2 linked regions of the Struthio camelus genome follow. The protein of the gene in region 2 purifies or fractionates together with the protein of the main gene of each other region. This does not show direct contact. Links are inferred from orthologs where the notes say so. Each region holds a gene or a part of one and is shown on either strand. Other genes may lie near its edges.

Region 1 (7,395 bases), on a different chromosome or scaffold from region 2:
TAGGGTAAGCTTCACTTTTGGTATGAATGCTTGACAAGAATAAGAGATACAATTACTACCTTTGGATAACAAAGCAACTGCTGTTTCTTTCAATTAGCCTAGAAGAAGTCTCCAAAAATAAAAATTTCACCATATACTAACTGAAACATCATCTGCCTCGGCCCTGTTTATGTAAAACTTGTTCTCCTTCTGCTTATATAAGAAGATTTTGTCTTCAATTCTTGTAAAGGAATTACTTAAAAAAAATGCTAAAATAACTTCCATCAGTGATCTGTGCTGAAGGCATACATATTCATAAGTGACTTATTTAAAGTTACAAATACAATGAACAAAATTAGTTTTTTGAAGCTAAGTCTGAATTTATTGCAAAATGATAAATTTGATTTCTGACATAAGCACGCCCTAGAAAGGTAAGGGGGAGATAAGACTGAAGTTCTAGAAACATCTGACAGCTAACTGAAATGTTTCACTTTGTCTTAAAAACTAGACATTATGCTAGATCCTGCATATTCTTAAAAATTAGCTGAATTCATTAAATGAATGTAAGCCTATGTGGATAGCTGTATTTCAGGTTAAACATGGCTATTTTGACCGAACGAAACACCTTATTTGATAACAATATGAAAAGCAATCCCACATATCATTTCTCCCCTCTTCGTAAATGCACAACCTGTCCTCTTGTTCATGTCAGCTCTGAGAACTGTTAGACCCTTCTGTAAGCCACCTGAACTCTCTAGAACAGCAGAAATCCACGCCAGCCTAAGAAAGCTGGCCAGAAGGCAAGCTGGAAAAGAGAAGAAAGATGCTGAAGACGACCACAGCACCTCCACCTCTTGGTGGCAGCAGGAGTTATGCTAACTTCATCCACAGCTCCACCTTCAGGAAAGAGCACAAAGAAAACATTGCAAGTAAGTACAGGGGCTGCTTGGGATGTTCATTAGGTTTTCTTGTTTCCTGATCTAGTTTTCTGCTAGCTTAGTTGTCTGAGTTGACTCCCTAATGGAGCCAGGTCTAAAAAGATCAGAAACACCAAAGCCAGCACAAGGGGTGGAAGACAGGAGCATGCTGCCAGAAACCAGAGGAAGAAGGGGGAATGTGATTGCTCCTTTCAACATCAGCTTTTTGAACAGTCCAGCTTATTCAACCTCACCTTCAAAGTGGATCTTTCCAATGTCTGGAAAATGCCAGAACTAATAATGTGATCCTCAAGACAAGAACAACCTTTCTAGGTTTATACAGCAGGAATATAAGCTTTTCTGTACTTGGAAAAGGTCCACTAAAGATAATAAAACACTATGGATAATAGTTTTTTTTGAAAGCTGTGAGTTTGAAACAGCTTACAGATGCCCTAACAAGCTTCTATTCCATATTAGAATTACATTTAAAATTTGCTTCATTTTCTCCCAAGGTGGCAAATAAACTATTATTCTTTGGCTTGTTCAAAATTTCTTTCCTCACAGACATAAGACTTGAAAGCAAGGAGATTTTTTACTTAGGGGAAAGCAGAGTCATTTGTTTCTGAAAAAAAGCTATGAAATTTTGCCCCTCTCTGCCTTGAATCAATATTTTCAGTTAACACAGATCCGCAAACACTGATCAGCTCAACTTTTTAGCAACCAGCACATATGCAATAACTAAATAGTGATCTATTCGTTTATATTTGAAAACTACTTCAGTTGACCTGAAACACTTTAGAAAGACACTAACCACCATTTCAGTGTAACACCCACAGGCTAAAGAAATAAAAGATGACCTTAAACATACATACATGCACACATATATGTACTTATATACTTCATTGCTTCTTAGGTCAGCAATCCTGAAAGTATAATTTTTACTCTAACACCCTTGATAAGAATTTAAAAAGAGCTGCCCTCAACTGTACTTTCATATTACAGCTGTGCAGCAGAAGAGACTGAGAAGCTAGAGACATCCTGACACACACCTGAAAAGGGCATCACAAAGAAGTTAAAGAAATGCTATTCATACTGCACATTATTTTGATGTAATGTTCTAGAGATCATTTATAAGTATTGCAGAGGGTTGCCCCCTCTCCATTCTTCCCCTACTTCACAGCATTCCTTCCCATCTTCACTGCAAACTATTACCACTTGAGCCATTAACACAGGAGACTAAAAAAATAAAAAATAAAAATAAAAAGGAGAAACTAATTAGAACATTAGAAAGGAAAGGTAAGATTATTTCACCTTAACTGAAAAGAAAGTTTCAGTTAGCAGACCTCAGTTAGCATGTACACAGAATGTACAGAGTCAAGAATGTAGATTCAAATTCACACAAGGAAGGCTTCCTGAAGTATCAATCACCATTATCAGCAAGAATATCATCCTAGCAAAGCTTTCTAAATTATTCACAGGCTAGCCCTTTAAGCACATGATTATAAATCCAACAGACACTTAGAATACCCATTCTCTGCCAAAAATTATGTACACCAAAAAAAGTTACATGCATACCTGTCTTGCAGCACTTTAGTCACTCTGCTCACACAGCTGACACTTTGGTCTCCCAAAGCTTTTCTAATCCTTTTATCCAGTTTGGTAGGAGAGAGATTATTTCCAAGTAGTACATTGTTGCTATTTCTTGCTCTTTCTATTCGTCCCCCCCTGCCATTTGTAGCTTTTGGTGTTCCTCCACACATTTTCTTATGCTAAAGATGCTCTTGCAAAGCTCCTTCAAAAAAACAAATACAGGCTGAAGAGATACAGCCTCAGATTTCTTTGCTATAGATAAGTCATTAACAATGGTAATTACTATCAGCCTTCTTCCCTAAACAGGAACCCAGTCTGCCCAATTTCTTGTTAAGGAAAAAAAAAAGTCATATATTTTACAAGCCATTAATGCAGAAAGATAGCTATAGCTAATACACTGCGGTAATTATTCCAGGACAGAGCAGTAGATATGACTTTCAAGTTTCAGAAGCCATTAAAGACTTGCTCTTGCTGCTGTTTGAGTTTTTCTACCAAGCCTGGTGCAAAGCTGTAGCAGATACAACAACTAATATTGACTTTAACTATGTTTGCTTCCTGGTATGTGATTAGGTAGCTGGCAATTATGTAGTCACAAGACCGAACCATATGGCCTTTGGGGGGGGGGGGGGAGGAAAAAAAAAAGACATAGTTGCTTTTGCAGTGACTCGCCCTTCATTGCTGCAAGGTTGTTCTAACACCAGCTACAACACCCTGTTAATGGTTCTCATGTGAGCAAGTGTCATCTGACAACTCTTAGCAACCTCATAGGGCTCAGGAGCAAATAAGAATCTGTCATCAGTGCCATATGGCTATCTAAAAAAAGAATTAAAAAACAAAAAACCCACCAACACCAAGAAACACACTAGTGATTTTGCACTACAATGGTTTTACTGTGGAGGACAGAGTATCTACACTTGGCTAGCAGCCTGAAACTACTATTTTTAAAAGCATTTTTTAAAAAGTAGAAGGAAAAAAGAAAAGTTTCTGTAGCAAATATCAAGCTGATTGATATTGGATTTATAACTGTGCCTAAAACGCTACCCGGTGGATAATTCTAAAAGTATTCAAAGAGACAGATTCACAAATATTTTTCTCAGAGCCTGTTTTTCTCCAAAATTGTTCAGATAACATGTATTTAACATTTTAATGGCAGTACTGATGACAAAAATATCACAAAATACTTCTGACAAAGAAAACATTTTTTAACAAACTAAAAGAACAGCACATTTTTTTTCAGGCTCACGTAATTTCACTGCAGAACAAAGTTCTCTTTCCCACCTCCACTTTAAAAAAAGGTATCCATGCATGGCTATGCATAATTAATCTCTTGCATAGCTCTCTTCCATCTTTAGAGCTTTAGACACTTTATAAGATGATGGCAATAAGGCTAGTTCTCTTCCAGATGGAGGGGGGAAAAAAAAAAGAAAAAGAGAGAGAAAGTGACTTGGCCAATGGTTACCCAGAAATACAGTAGTAGTAGGGTTAGAAAAAGTAGTAAGTTTCCTAGTTATACATGCTAAATAGCACTGCACCCTACTTAGGAGGATTTAGTAATCCCACTAAACCCCAACCACTGTCCCACTAGGCAAGATGACAAGGCGGCAACTACAGCACAGGTAAGTTAAACAATTTGCTCAGTTGCACAAGAAACCTATAGCAGCCAAAAACAAAGCTCAGTTTTAATTCCCAGACTAGCAATCTGTACTAGATCACAATTACTCCCCTTCTCAAATGTCCAAAAGAAGTGAAAAGCTTTGGCCTGTTCTCAAAAGTTATTCAAATGATTTAGCAGAGTGTGACTTCTCGCCCTTACCTCATTGACAAGCACTACTTCAAATATCAGCGTTCCTATTTATCTTGGAAGCTTGAATGAAAAGCAGTTGATGGCAGGTTTACTAGTTACACTTGGACCAGCAACTGACAGCATTCAGTTCTGTTCTACCTTCCCCAAAGAAAAGTTAAACAAAATTCAGAAACATTTAGCTAAATTACTGCATTACCGGACTCACATCCAGTGAATTAGGAACTCCAATAAGCCAATTAAATAGATGCACTTTATGACTTTCTATGAGAGTATTGTAGCATTCATCTGTAGAGTACCAGAAGTCCCAAAATACTTTGGGAATTACCACGGGGGGGGGGGGGGGGGGGAAGAGGGGGAAGGAAATCAACACAAGCTTCGGGGAAGGAGGGTGGCACCCAGGAGCAAAGCCACACAGGAGATCACCCCCAGTCCAAAGAGGAGATAATACATAAAATGGAAGAAAGTGTCCTGCCCTCCAGATATAGTCCTTTGGGAAGCAGTGTTGAATCACTCTTTTTCTAGGCTATGTGACAGCATGTCACCTGCTCTGTTTGTAGGTCATTTCCTGCCCTTCATCTTGACTCTTCAGATAATTGCCTAGATGTTTCCAATTTAAGGTGATACTTTAGCAAGGAAATTTGGGATGGGAGAAAGAGGAAATATATACAATGAAGTTACCTAACTAAGAGTAGTTTTCTGTATGAATTACAACTGTCCACTAAAATTTGAACAGTTCTCAAATTTAATACAATCTTTTCAAAGTCTCCAGTAATGTTTTATTTTCCACTATATCTTTTAGAAAGCAACTAGAGAAATATAGAAAAACAAAGTTTGAACCATGCCTGCTGTTTCAGTGAGGATTTGGGGGGTGGGGGGTGAAAGATACATTTAGCAAAATCACTATATAAAAAAATGCCCCAAACCCAGACATTCGGGATGAGTGCCAAAACAGCTTATGTTTATAGGTGAAGTGGAATCTGCTTTGGATTGCTTAAAGATGAATTTCCTTTCTTCATTCTGTTGAACAGTTCATGTAGAAGATGTGACCTTCCCTCCCCCCCCCCCCCCCCCCATTTTAAGAATTTACCCAAAGTTACTTCCCCTCTTTTAAAAATCTTGAATATGGAAGAGTCGTGCTGATGCCACATCACGTTCTTTTTCTATAATCATTTAAAGCAGTCCTAATATGGTAATGTACTATTTAACCTCAGATGAACCACCTTGTTTAAGTATGATACATAGTTACTAGTTTCACACAAGTTCAGCAGGATGCATTACGGATTAGTCATGCAACAAGTGAAGGAACATGTTATTTACAGCACTTCTCTCTCAGTTTAGATTCTACTGCAAGAAGGAGTTGTGGTGGGGAAAGTACAATTCTCCATATCAGATCGCTGTACAGAAAGGTTACCATTCTTTTAGAAAACGGTTCTACATAGTGCTGTATGAAAAGTAAAACAACATTAGATGTATTTTTTCTGCGAGCATGGAACTCCACAGACTACCTGGCTTAGTGAGAGAGGTTATACTGAATTTTTGCAAAACTGGAAGCATTTTTCACTACTGCAGTTGCTAGAAAGCAATACCAAACAACTGACCACAAAAACCACAAACACCTGATAGAGGCTTACACAAACAGCTCTATACCAAGTTAAAGTCACCATAAATTGCACACATCAGCTTGCCACAAACATCAAGAATAGCCTATTAAATCAGTGTTTCAGAACTCAAACAACACTCTTAAGTTTGGACACTAAATTCACGGGTCATTGCCTTATAGATAAGTCAGAAGTTTGGGAGCTAAGTTTCAGAGAGTGTTTCAGTGCTAATGCAAAAACCCAAAACAACATGCTTGAAGTGGTAACATAAACAGCACAGAGAGAGCACTTTCACCCGCTAGCCCCAGAAATGGGGCTCCTTGCTAGCAAAGAGACAAGAAATCAAGAGTCATAACTGCACTGAAAAGTTAAATCCACATATTTAATTCAATTTTACAATTAAGAGGGTAGTATTGATGCATATTTTAAAACTAGGACTTCAAGCAGAGGGTAAAATTTAAAAGTGCAGAAAGATAAGCTCTCCAGATTCATAACCCAGTCTCTTCTCAAAAATTCTTGCTTAGTCCTAATCAACTTTCCCCACTCTATCCCACAAGAGCTATTCTCCCTAATCCCAGTAGCTTCTAACAGCCAGGAGATCTCAGTTTATCAAAATGAAGTCAAATATTTTGTCAAAGTTGTTTCCCAGTAATACATCTCGACAGTTTCAAAGAACAGAAGGTGTACTTGTTAATTTAACATTCTTGTTGAGAGGGACAGAGCTTGGTCTTTTTAAAGGCACTTCCAATAACCAACTTCCAGTTTGCACTGAAAGACAAACAGGTTGAGCCAAACAGCAGCAGCCTGACAGGAGCAAGCGGTACTCGTTCCAGCATCTCTGCTGAGCGCAGAGGAGCAGGCCGCCCGGCCAGCGGCGCCGCCCCACCTCCTCCCGCGTTCAACACAGGTCTCAGCCAATGCATCATTCACATGTCACTTGTTCCAGCAGCGCCATGTGACTGGGCCAGCTTCCAGGAACACTGCTACTAAATGCAGATACTGCCAAGGCACGTCTGAGAATTGCGTATGCCAGAAAATGAGATGAATAGAAATCTCTTATCCTACCAGCTTTACTGTGTATGCTTTTACAATCTGCTCTTGAACAGGAGAATGAGGAATGACATATTTCACCTCTGAAGAATAATTTTGAGCAATATAATGGAAGGTATTTATAATACCGTACCCGTTCTTGTTGCATTTCAATGCTACACTCAAGTACTGACTGATCTCAGACACTAATATCTCCTACATAAATTAGCAGGCCAGCACAGACATCACCACCACACCTTAGGGGTGGTATCCTAAGGCATGGGTTTGGTTGCCTGCTCTTTGCTGTTCCTTCTCCCTCTTCTGTGAAGCCCTCAGTTTTTTGTTTTGTTTTTTAAGGGGGAAAAAAACCACACTCTATGCAGCCTTCGAGTGCCTGTTCAAAGGAGGAGTTTTAGAATATGAAAAAAAATAACACAACTGAGTAAGAAACATTATTAGACATAAGTAAATATATCTT
Region 2 (7,026 bases):
AACCCTCTAGTACTTTTCTGCGTTGGAAATCAGTCTAAGTGAAGGCCATGCTGTAGATCTTTTCTTTGTTTCTAAAGAAAGCAATTCCTTATGATAGAATCGTATACAGCTCTCCTAAAAGCAGGGATTTATTTGGAAATAACATGCTGGAATAACATCTGGTTTTTAAACCGCTATTTCAAACATCACAGCGTTGTCATTGGGTTCTTTAAGTGCTTCGCTCTTTGAATCGATGGGCTCTCAATTTTTCTGTAGCTCTTAATGTACTTGAAGATTATTACTGTTCGAGCACCTTTGAAACACTTAATGTCAGTGCAAATCTCCTACTATCAGACATAAATAAACCTGTCATCAAGTCAGAATGTGAGCAGCTCAGCATCCAGTGCTTCCTACTTAAACACCTGAATAGGAGCTGCTTGCTACTGCTGATGACCTGCCAGTTTTTTTCAGGTGCCTAGGTGGGAACTAAGGATTTCTGGCTCTTGCCGTGTGGAACTTGTATGTATTGAGGTCACCAGTGGTTGGAAAATATATCGTTTGTGCTTCCAGTGCTGATACAGAACTGTTGGGGTTTTCATTTGAAACGGGCATCTTAATTCTAGCAGAGCCTCTGTGACTGAGTGCTCTCTAGTAGCAGAGAAGTGTCCACAGGCTGTTCTTTAGGTGGTGAATGAAGTTTTTAAAAGTATAAAATAGCAGTTTAGTAGCGAACACAGCATAGGTCCATAGCGTTAGTAGCTCACCATTGAGTACTTGTGCTTCCTATCATAGCAACTTCCATATTTGAAGGCAACTTTTACACCTAATCTTAAAGGAAAATCTTGTTTTTTTTTTTTTTTCACAACTTGCCTTACCAGTCTTGTAATTAAAGATATTTATGATTTTTAAAGTCTTTTCCTAGTTAATCCTGCAGTGATTTCAATGCTGAACATGCTCATACAATTTTCTGCTCTGGTACTGTGGAAGTGTTAAATATGTGATTCATAATGTTGTGGGCTCAAGCGCAAAGTTGGGTGGTAGAAGTATTTACGATCATATGCAGTAGTCACAGAAAGCACTGACAGTGACTAACCCCAAACTGCCACGTATACAAATATGTGGAAAGCTCGCCTTTTGTCACCAAGGGACCACTTGCCGGGGGAGAATGTATGAAGAATGTTTTCGTGAAGTTTGAGAAGAATGAGAAATGTCCACTTCGCATGGCTAACGTTTTGTAGCACTAGTTCCTATTAGTGAACACGGACGTACCTGCTGAGAGCTGTTGCAGTGGCTTTTGTATGTGTGGAGTTACAAGCAAACTAATACATGCAGCTGGCAAAGGGCAGCTTTTTTTTTTCTTTTTTTTTCCTCTTGCCAAAAGTAGGTAAAGTAAATCATACTACATGTCAAAAGGATGTAGAAATTGCTATGTGATAGTTTCAAAGCATTGCCCTTAAAAAAACAGATTAAGAATAGCAGCATTTATATATAATCTGAAAGTTTGAGACCTGCTAAAGTTTGTTTTCTGATGTGGATAATTGTGCTGCTAAATTCCCTGACTGCTGTTGAAAATTCAAAGTCAGGTCCCACCACTAGAGCTGAGTCGATGGAAAGCGTTCACCAAAAGTGCTTTGCAGAAGGGCTTCTAAGCAGGGGGGTCTGATAAATACGTTCAGTCTGGCATCTGCATGTCTTGAGATCCTATTGAAAGCAAGTCTTCCAGATTTTTAATGGAGTAGCTCCTTCAAGTCTTGGAACTAATAGCGTGGGGCTGTGGCCAGCTGAGAAGCTTTGAGAACACTTGAGCTTTCTGGTTGTAACTTCTATTCTACCAAAGCCCTTCCCTACAACAAATATAAGGCCACTACGTGCTGTGTTTATCCAAACTTAGGATGTGAGAAGTGCTAGTTCTTCCAGTCGTGCATGACCGCAAGGTGTGATCACAAAATACTGAGTGCGTGCTTTGATATCTAACCCATATTTTCATGCATCTTCATTAACTGCATTTTATATCTGCATTAATTAAGGTAACATGAGACTTGCAACTACACTTTTTAGCCACAGGAGGGATCTCCAGTTCAGTTATACGTAGCAGCTACTGATGTGGGATTTTGGGGGTTTTTTGTTTTGTTTTTTAAAGAAAGGGCTAGAAGTTGCTTGTATACAACCACCTCTCCTATTTTGGTGCCACTGAGGAGCACTAACTAGTGAACTTTGCTAATACATCTGCAGTATTTCCGTTGCGCCAAATGCTTTTGCGTAATTAAAGTTGCCTCGTTCTACACAAATTCCCTTTCTCTATTCTACAGTACAACTGCGACCCGTTTTGTGTGTTGTCATGGGTTTTCTGTATAACGTAGGAATTGTTTTCTGCATGGCCATACTGGCTGAGGAGGTTAGACCTGAGAAGCTGTTTAAATGTACTATTGGAAAATAAAGATAACAAACGAGTAATTCTTCTTAATTTGTCTTAAATGGCTGGCCTGAAAGAACGAGATAGTAGGTGTTTCTTATTTGGCTTTCTCTTGGCTTTTGGGGGGTTCTCTTGTTCTTGTCGCTTCTCAGGACAAGTGATGGCTTACAGTTGGTCGGAGGGAGACTCTAGTTGTTGTCTGCGCGTCGCCATGCCCTGTGGTCAGGAGTTGTTCAAGCTCTGTTGGTAGCTTTTCAGAGGTTTCCCGGAGTGTTTCAAGTAGGAATAGCTGGTTCCTTTTGTGCAAGCAGGCGGTAGGACCTCCTTAGGAAGAGCTGCTGCAGGCCCTGGTCCAAGACGGGCTCCAGGGTTAGATGGACTCTGGATCAAACATATGCTGCAAATGAGGTCTCTTTGCATTCAAATCTCATCTCTTGTGTTATGATCACCATCAGAATGATGAGTGCCATTTTCTCCACCAGAAGCATAACTCTTTAGTCCAAGCATGGCTGCTTGGATCCAAGGGCACATATTGTAGTAATCATTGATCTCTGCTATTTCGGAGGATTTAAACTGTCTGCAGCAATGCAAGGTGTGCTCAGCTGAATGGTCAAAAGTATATATATCTATATATTTTTTTCTGTTCTCGTGTGAAGAACAATACAACCCTCTCTCTGCCTTAGCGCGGTTTCCAAAAATGTTATAGATCTATGTTATTCCATGGCAGAAGACTTACCATAGTGCTCAGGTGTTCTAGGGCTCACCTACAGTGGAAGGGGAAGGGGGAGAATCTAGCAATTGATTATTTTAAAGCCTGAAAGGATAATTATTTCCCCTGGAATTTGAGGTTTATCTCTTCATTGCATTTTCCTAGGGATAAATAGTGAGCTAGTACCACTGCCACCACTAATGCCCAACTGGTGCAAGTGAAAGGAGGGGGGATGCGTATAGCAGGAGAGACTAAAACTGGCTTGTTTCTTTTAACTCGAGGTGGCTGCTCCCTTCCTCCAGGGTCTTAATCTGGGCCTTGCTGGGCTGACTTTCTAGATATAATTAGGGGAAAAAGACAATACTTAAAGGCTTTTTCCATTATCTGCCCTAATCTCGTATTTTATTAGTCTACAGCATACGTCGTACCGCTCGTCTAGGCTCTCTGCGCCCCCCCCGGAAGAGGAGTCCCCGAGCGCGGCTGCGTTCCCACACCGGCAGGCTGGCGGAGGCGAGCCCCGCGACCGCGCACAGCCCCGCGCCGCGCACCCGGGAGCCCCCCCACGCGCCTGCGCGCGCGGGGCGCCACCCCGCGCCCTGTGGCTGGCACGTGACCCGCCCTTTGGACCGCACCACCCGCGCCGGGCAAGGGCGGGGGTGCGGCGCCGGCTCAAGGCCCAGCGCCTGCGGTGGTGGCAGGGCGGCAGCCCGTCCCTCGCTCGTCTCAGGGGTCGGGGCTCTTTCTCGGCGCTGGGTCGCCCGGCGAAAGAGCCGGAGAGGGAAGGGAGGAGCCTTCGGCCAGAGCTTATCGCCCCCCCTACTTTTAGGGAGTGGTTCTGCCCAACGCGTGTGCAAAGGGCGGTCGTGGACCGAGCCATTGCCGAACCGGGGGGGGATGGGGGGAAGCGGCCACTCGGGGAAGCGGCCAGCAGGTGTCGGCTCCGTACCGGGGACGAGGAGCTGCCGGCGCCGCTGCGCTGCCGCGCTCCTTGCTCCTTGCCGCCCCTTGACGGCGGCCCGAGCGGAGCCGAGAAGTCATCTCCTTCCCCCTCCCCCTCGCCGTCGCGTAGGGATGGTACAGGCCGGTGGGTCAGTCAGTGTCAGGCGCGCGGAGCCACGGGACGGGCCGGGGCGGGGGAGCCCGGAGCCGCGGTGAGTGTGGGGGGGTCCGGTCCGGTCCGGTCCGGTCCGGTCCCGTCGGGCCTGAGGCGTCCTGGCCCGGACGGTCCGGTCCTCCTCACGCCGTCCGGCGGGGCCCTGAGGCGTCCAGGCCTGGTGGGGGCATCGGTCTGGCCTAGTCTCGCCCCCTCAAGGCCGAGGTGTCCGGGCCTGGTGCCGGCTGAGGGGAGGTCGGTCCAGGCTGGGGTGTCCGTGAGGCGCGGGGCCGGGTCTGCCGGGGGTCCCGCTTCTCTGGTGCGGGTCTAGCACCCCGGCGAGCAGCCAGCCCGCTGCCTGCTTGGCAGAGGGGTGACTGTGGATCTGCCCTTGCTCTGCTACGGTCCCGGCTGCGGAGCGGTCAGGGATGACGAAGGCCTGAGTTTGGTCTGCCCTGTGGGGAACTTGGTGTCAAGGCTTCGCTTGGGCAAAGAGAAGACACTCTGCAAGCTGCTGCTGGTGTCTTTCAGCATGGGAAAAATGGACTGAGCGTGTAGTCCCTTTAGCTGAGCTTAGCCCCACGATCTCATGGAGGAGCGTAGAGAAGGACTTGTGCCGAGGGGTGTTTTAGCCTCTGTTTGTTTTACTGATGTTGCGTGCTTCCTTGCTTTCCTGCAGGAGGCCTGACCTATGTGCTGAGCTCTCACTATGAATGCTATCGTTGCCCTCTGCCATTTTTGTGAGCTCCACGGTCCTCGCACCCTCTTTTGTACCGAGGTGCTACATTCACCGCTTCCTCAAGGTGCAAGCAGCGGGGACGTCTCTGGGCAGAATGAGCAGGCGGAAGAAGAAGAAGGCGGCATTCAGATGAGCAGTAGGATCCGCTCACACAGCCCAGCAGAAGGTGCCAGTGCTGACTCCAGCAGCCCAGGGCCAAAAAAGTCAGACATGTGTGAGGTAAGTGTGTATGCGTGTGTGCAGACATTGGTGACCCCTTGCTTAACTAAGGGGCTCATGGATTCTCTAATTCCAATTGTATTGCTTAGGAGGAAGAAAATGCACGTGACCTACGCTCGCATTTGTGTGTGACTGCCAGTACCAAAAGATCTTCAAGTCCTTAAAAACTGTAATAACCCATGACAGGATGTTAAGGAACTGTTTTGTGCATATAGGCTTTGGCAAGGTGATCTTTTGAGGACACTTTGGCCTATGTTACCTGATTCTCTGGTGGCTGAGAAATGGCTCGTTCATCCTTGAAGAGGACCTGCTTCATTACGTTAGGTCTGGCCGTAGATTAGTAAACTTTAACAGCAGCATTGAACAGGAACCGGGAAAAAATCCCAAAAGCAATTAAAATGATAGAGAAAATACATGTTTGCAGTTGTTCACATGCTTTTCTGAGCTACTTAAGTTAGTTACCTTCTTTTAGATAATGGCCATTTTTATTAGCTCGTTAGTTTCGCAGTTGCTGTTAACGTTGAACTGAATTAGATGACTTGTAGAGTCATCATCAAATCCCGGATCAAACTAAACAGTGGAAAAAGAGCATAGCAGCTGAGGAAATATAGCCCTTAGGATGCTAGTTGAGGAGCTGGGTTCAGATTTGGACCTTGCCTCAAACTTCCTATGTCCAGCTTACTCTTAATGAATATCTGCATTTGCATCTGTAAATGTAAACATCACTTCCCTACCTTTTGAAGGGAACATGCAGAGGGCTTTGAAAACCTTAGGTAATTGCATGCTCATTTATGGTTGGATTTTGCTTTTCTATCTTCAGGGTTGCCGCTCTCTTGCAGGAGGACATCCTGGATATGTCAGCCACGACAAAGAGACTTCAATCAAATATGTCAGTCACCAACACCCAAATCACCCCCAACTGTTCAGTATTGTGCGTCAGGCCTGTGTTCGCAGTCTGAGTTGTGAGGTAACTGGCTTGGAGTGCAGGGGGAGAATCTGGTTTGGGGCTTACGCATTGTTCTGAATCCAAGATACTGCTTCGTTGATCTTAGCCGCTCTGTGCAGCCTGAAACAAGGAAGGAATGGAGGTGGAAAGACAGACATAGAAGTCCTGTTTGTTCCAGGATTGGTGGGAATTTTCCGGGTTGATCTTTGCTAACCGGGGTGGGGGGGAGTTCCTTCCTCTTGCCTTGTGACACCAGAAGTTTCCCTTTATTGTTTTTGCTCCTATGCATTTATTGTTTTTCTTTCTGAGATAAACTGTGTTTGTAAAAATGTTGCAATCTGTTGCTTTGCATCAAGAAACGTTTTATCTTTGCAGACCGTTTACGTTCAGCATCTCACAGAAGGGAAGGGGAACCTTACGGATTAATGAGTGTTTGTGTGTCAGAATCAGCAATTCCTTGTGGAGTCTCAACGTGATTATAGTGGAGCAGAGCTGAATTCTTAAAATAATTTAAATGAGGGTCACACACTTGCAGGCTATCTCTGGAGGTCTGTTTGCTTATGTATTTTGGATAGCAGCCTAGAGAAGGCTTGTTTTATTCACCAGGTAACTTAGGCTTCATGGGAGGGGGTGTTAAAGAGCAGGAGGCTTTGTTCAAGCAGTTCATTAGTGTTTCAGCTATGCGATGTACTGAACTAGTTTGGTGTATGTGTCCCTTCCCTTCAGGTCTGTCCAGGACGTGAAGGCCCTATTTTTTTTGGAGATGAACAGCATGGCTTTGTGTTCAGCCACACCTTCTTTATCAAAGACAGCCTGGCTCGTGGTTTCCAGCGCTGGTACAGCATCATCACTATCATGATGGACCGGATTTATCTCATCAACTCCTGGCCTTTCTTGTTGGGAAAAATCAGAGGCATCATTGACGAGC

The links.
Region 1: the proteins of FLCN (region 2) and FNIP2 purify together in Homo sapiens (affinity purification with western blotting; 5 studies listed by BioGRID and IntAct, with this or other methods). This does not show direct contact. The link is inferred for Struthio camelus from reciprocal best matches to the Homo sapiens genes FLCN and FNIP2.

What each region holds. Positions count from the first base shown.
Region 1 is NC_090945.1:41,145,952-41,153,346, reverse strand, and holds the start of FNIP2 (folliculin-interacting protein 2), read right to left. Parts: upstream 3,051-7,395; 5' UTR 2,657-3,050; coding exon 2,472-2,656; intron 1-2,471.
Region 2 is NC_090956.1:4,044,031-4,051,056, forward strand, and holds the start of FLCN (folliculin), read left to right. Parts: upstream 1-3,979; 5' UTR 3,980-4,185; exon of another isoform or gene 4,186-4,449; intron 4,450-4,873; 5' UTR 4,874-4,903; coding exon 4,904-5,152; intron 5,153-5,972; coding exon 5,973-6,119; intron 6,120-6,824; coding exon 6,825-7,026. UniProt on the Homo sapiens protein: Multi-functional protein, involved in both the cellular response to amino acid availability and in the regulation of glycolysis.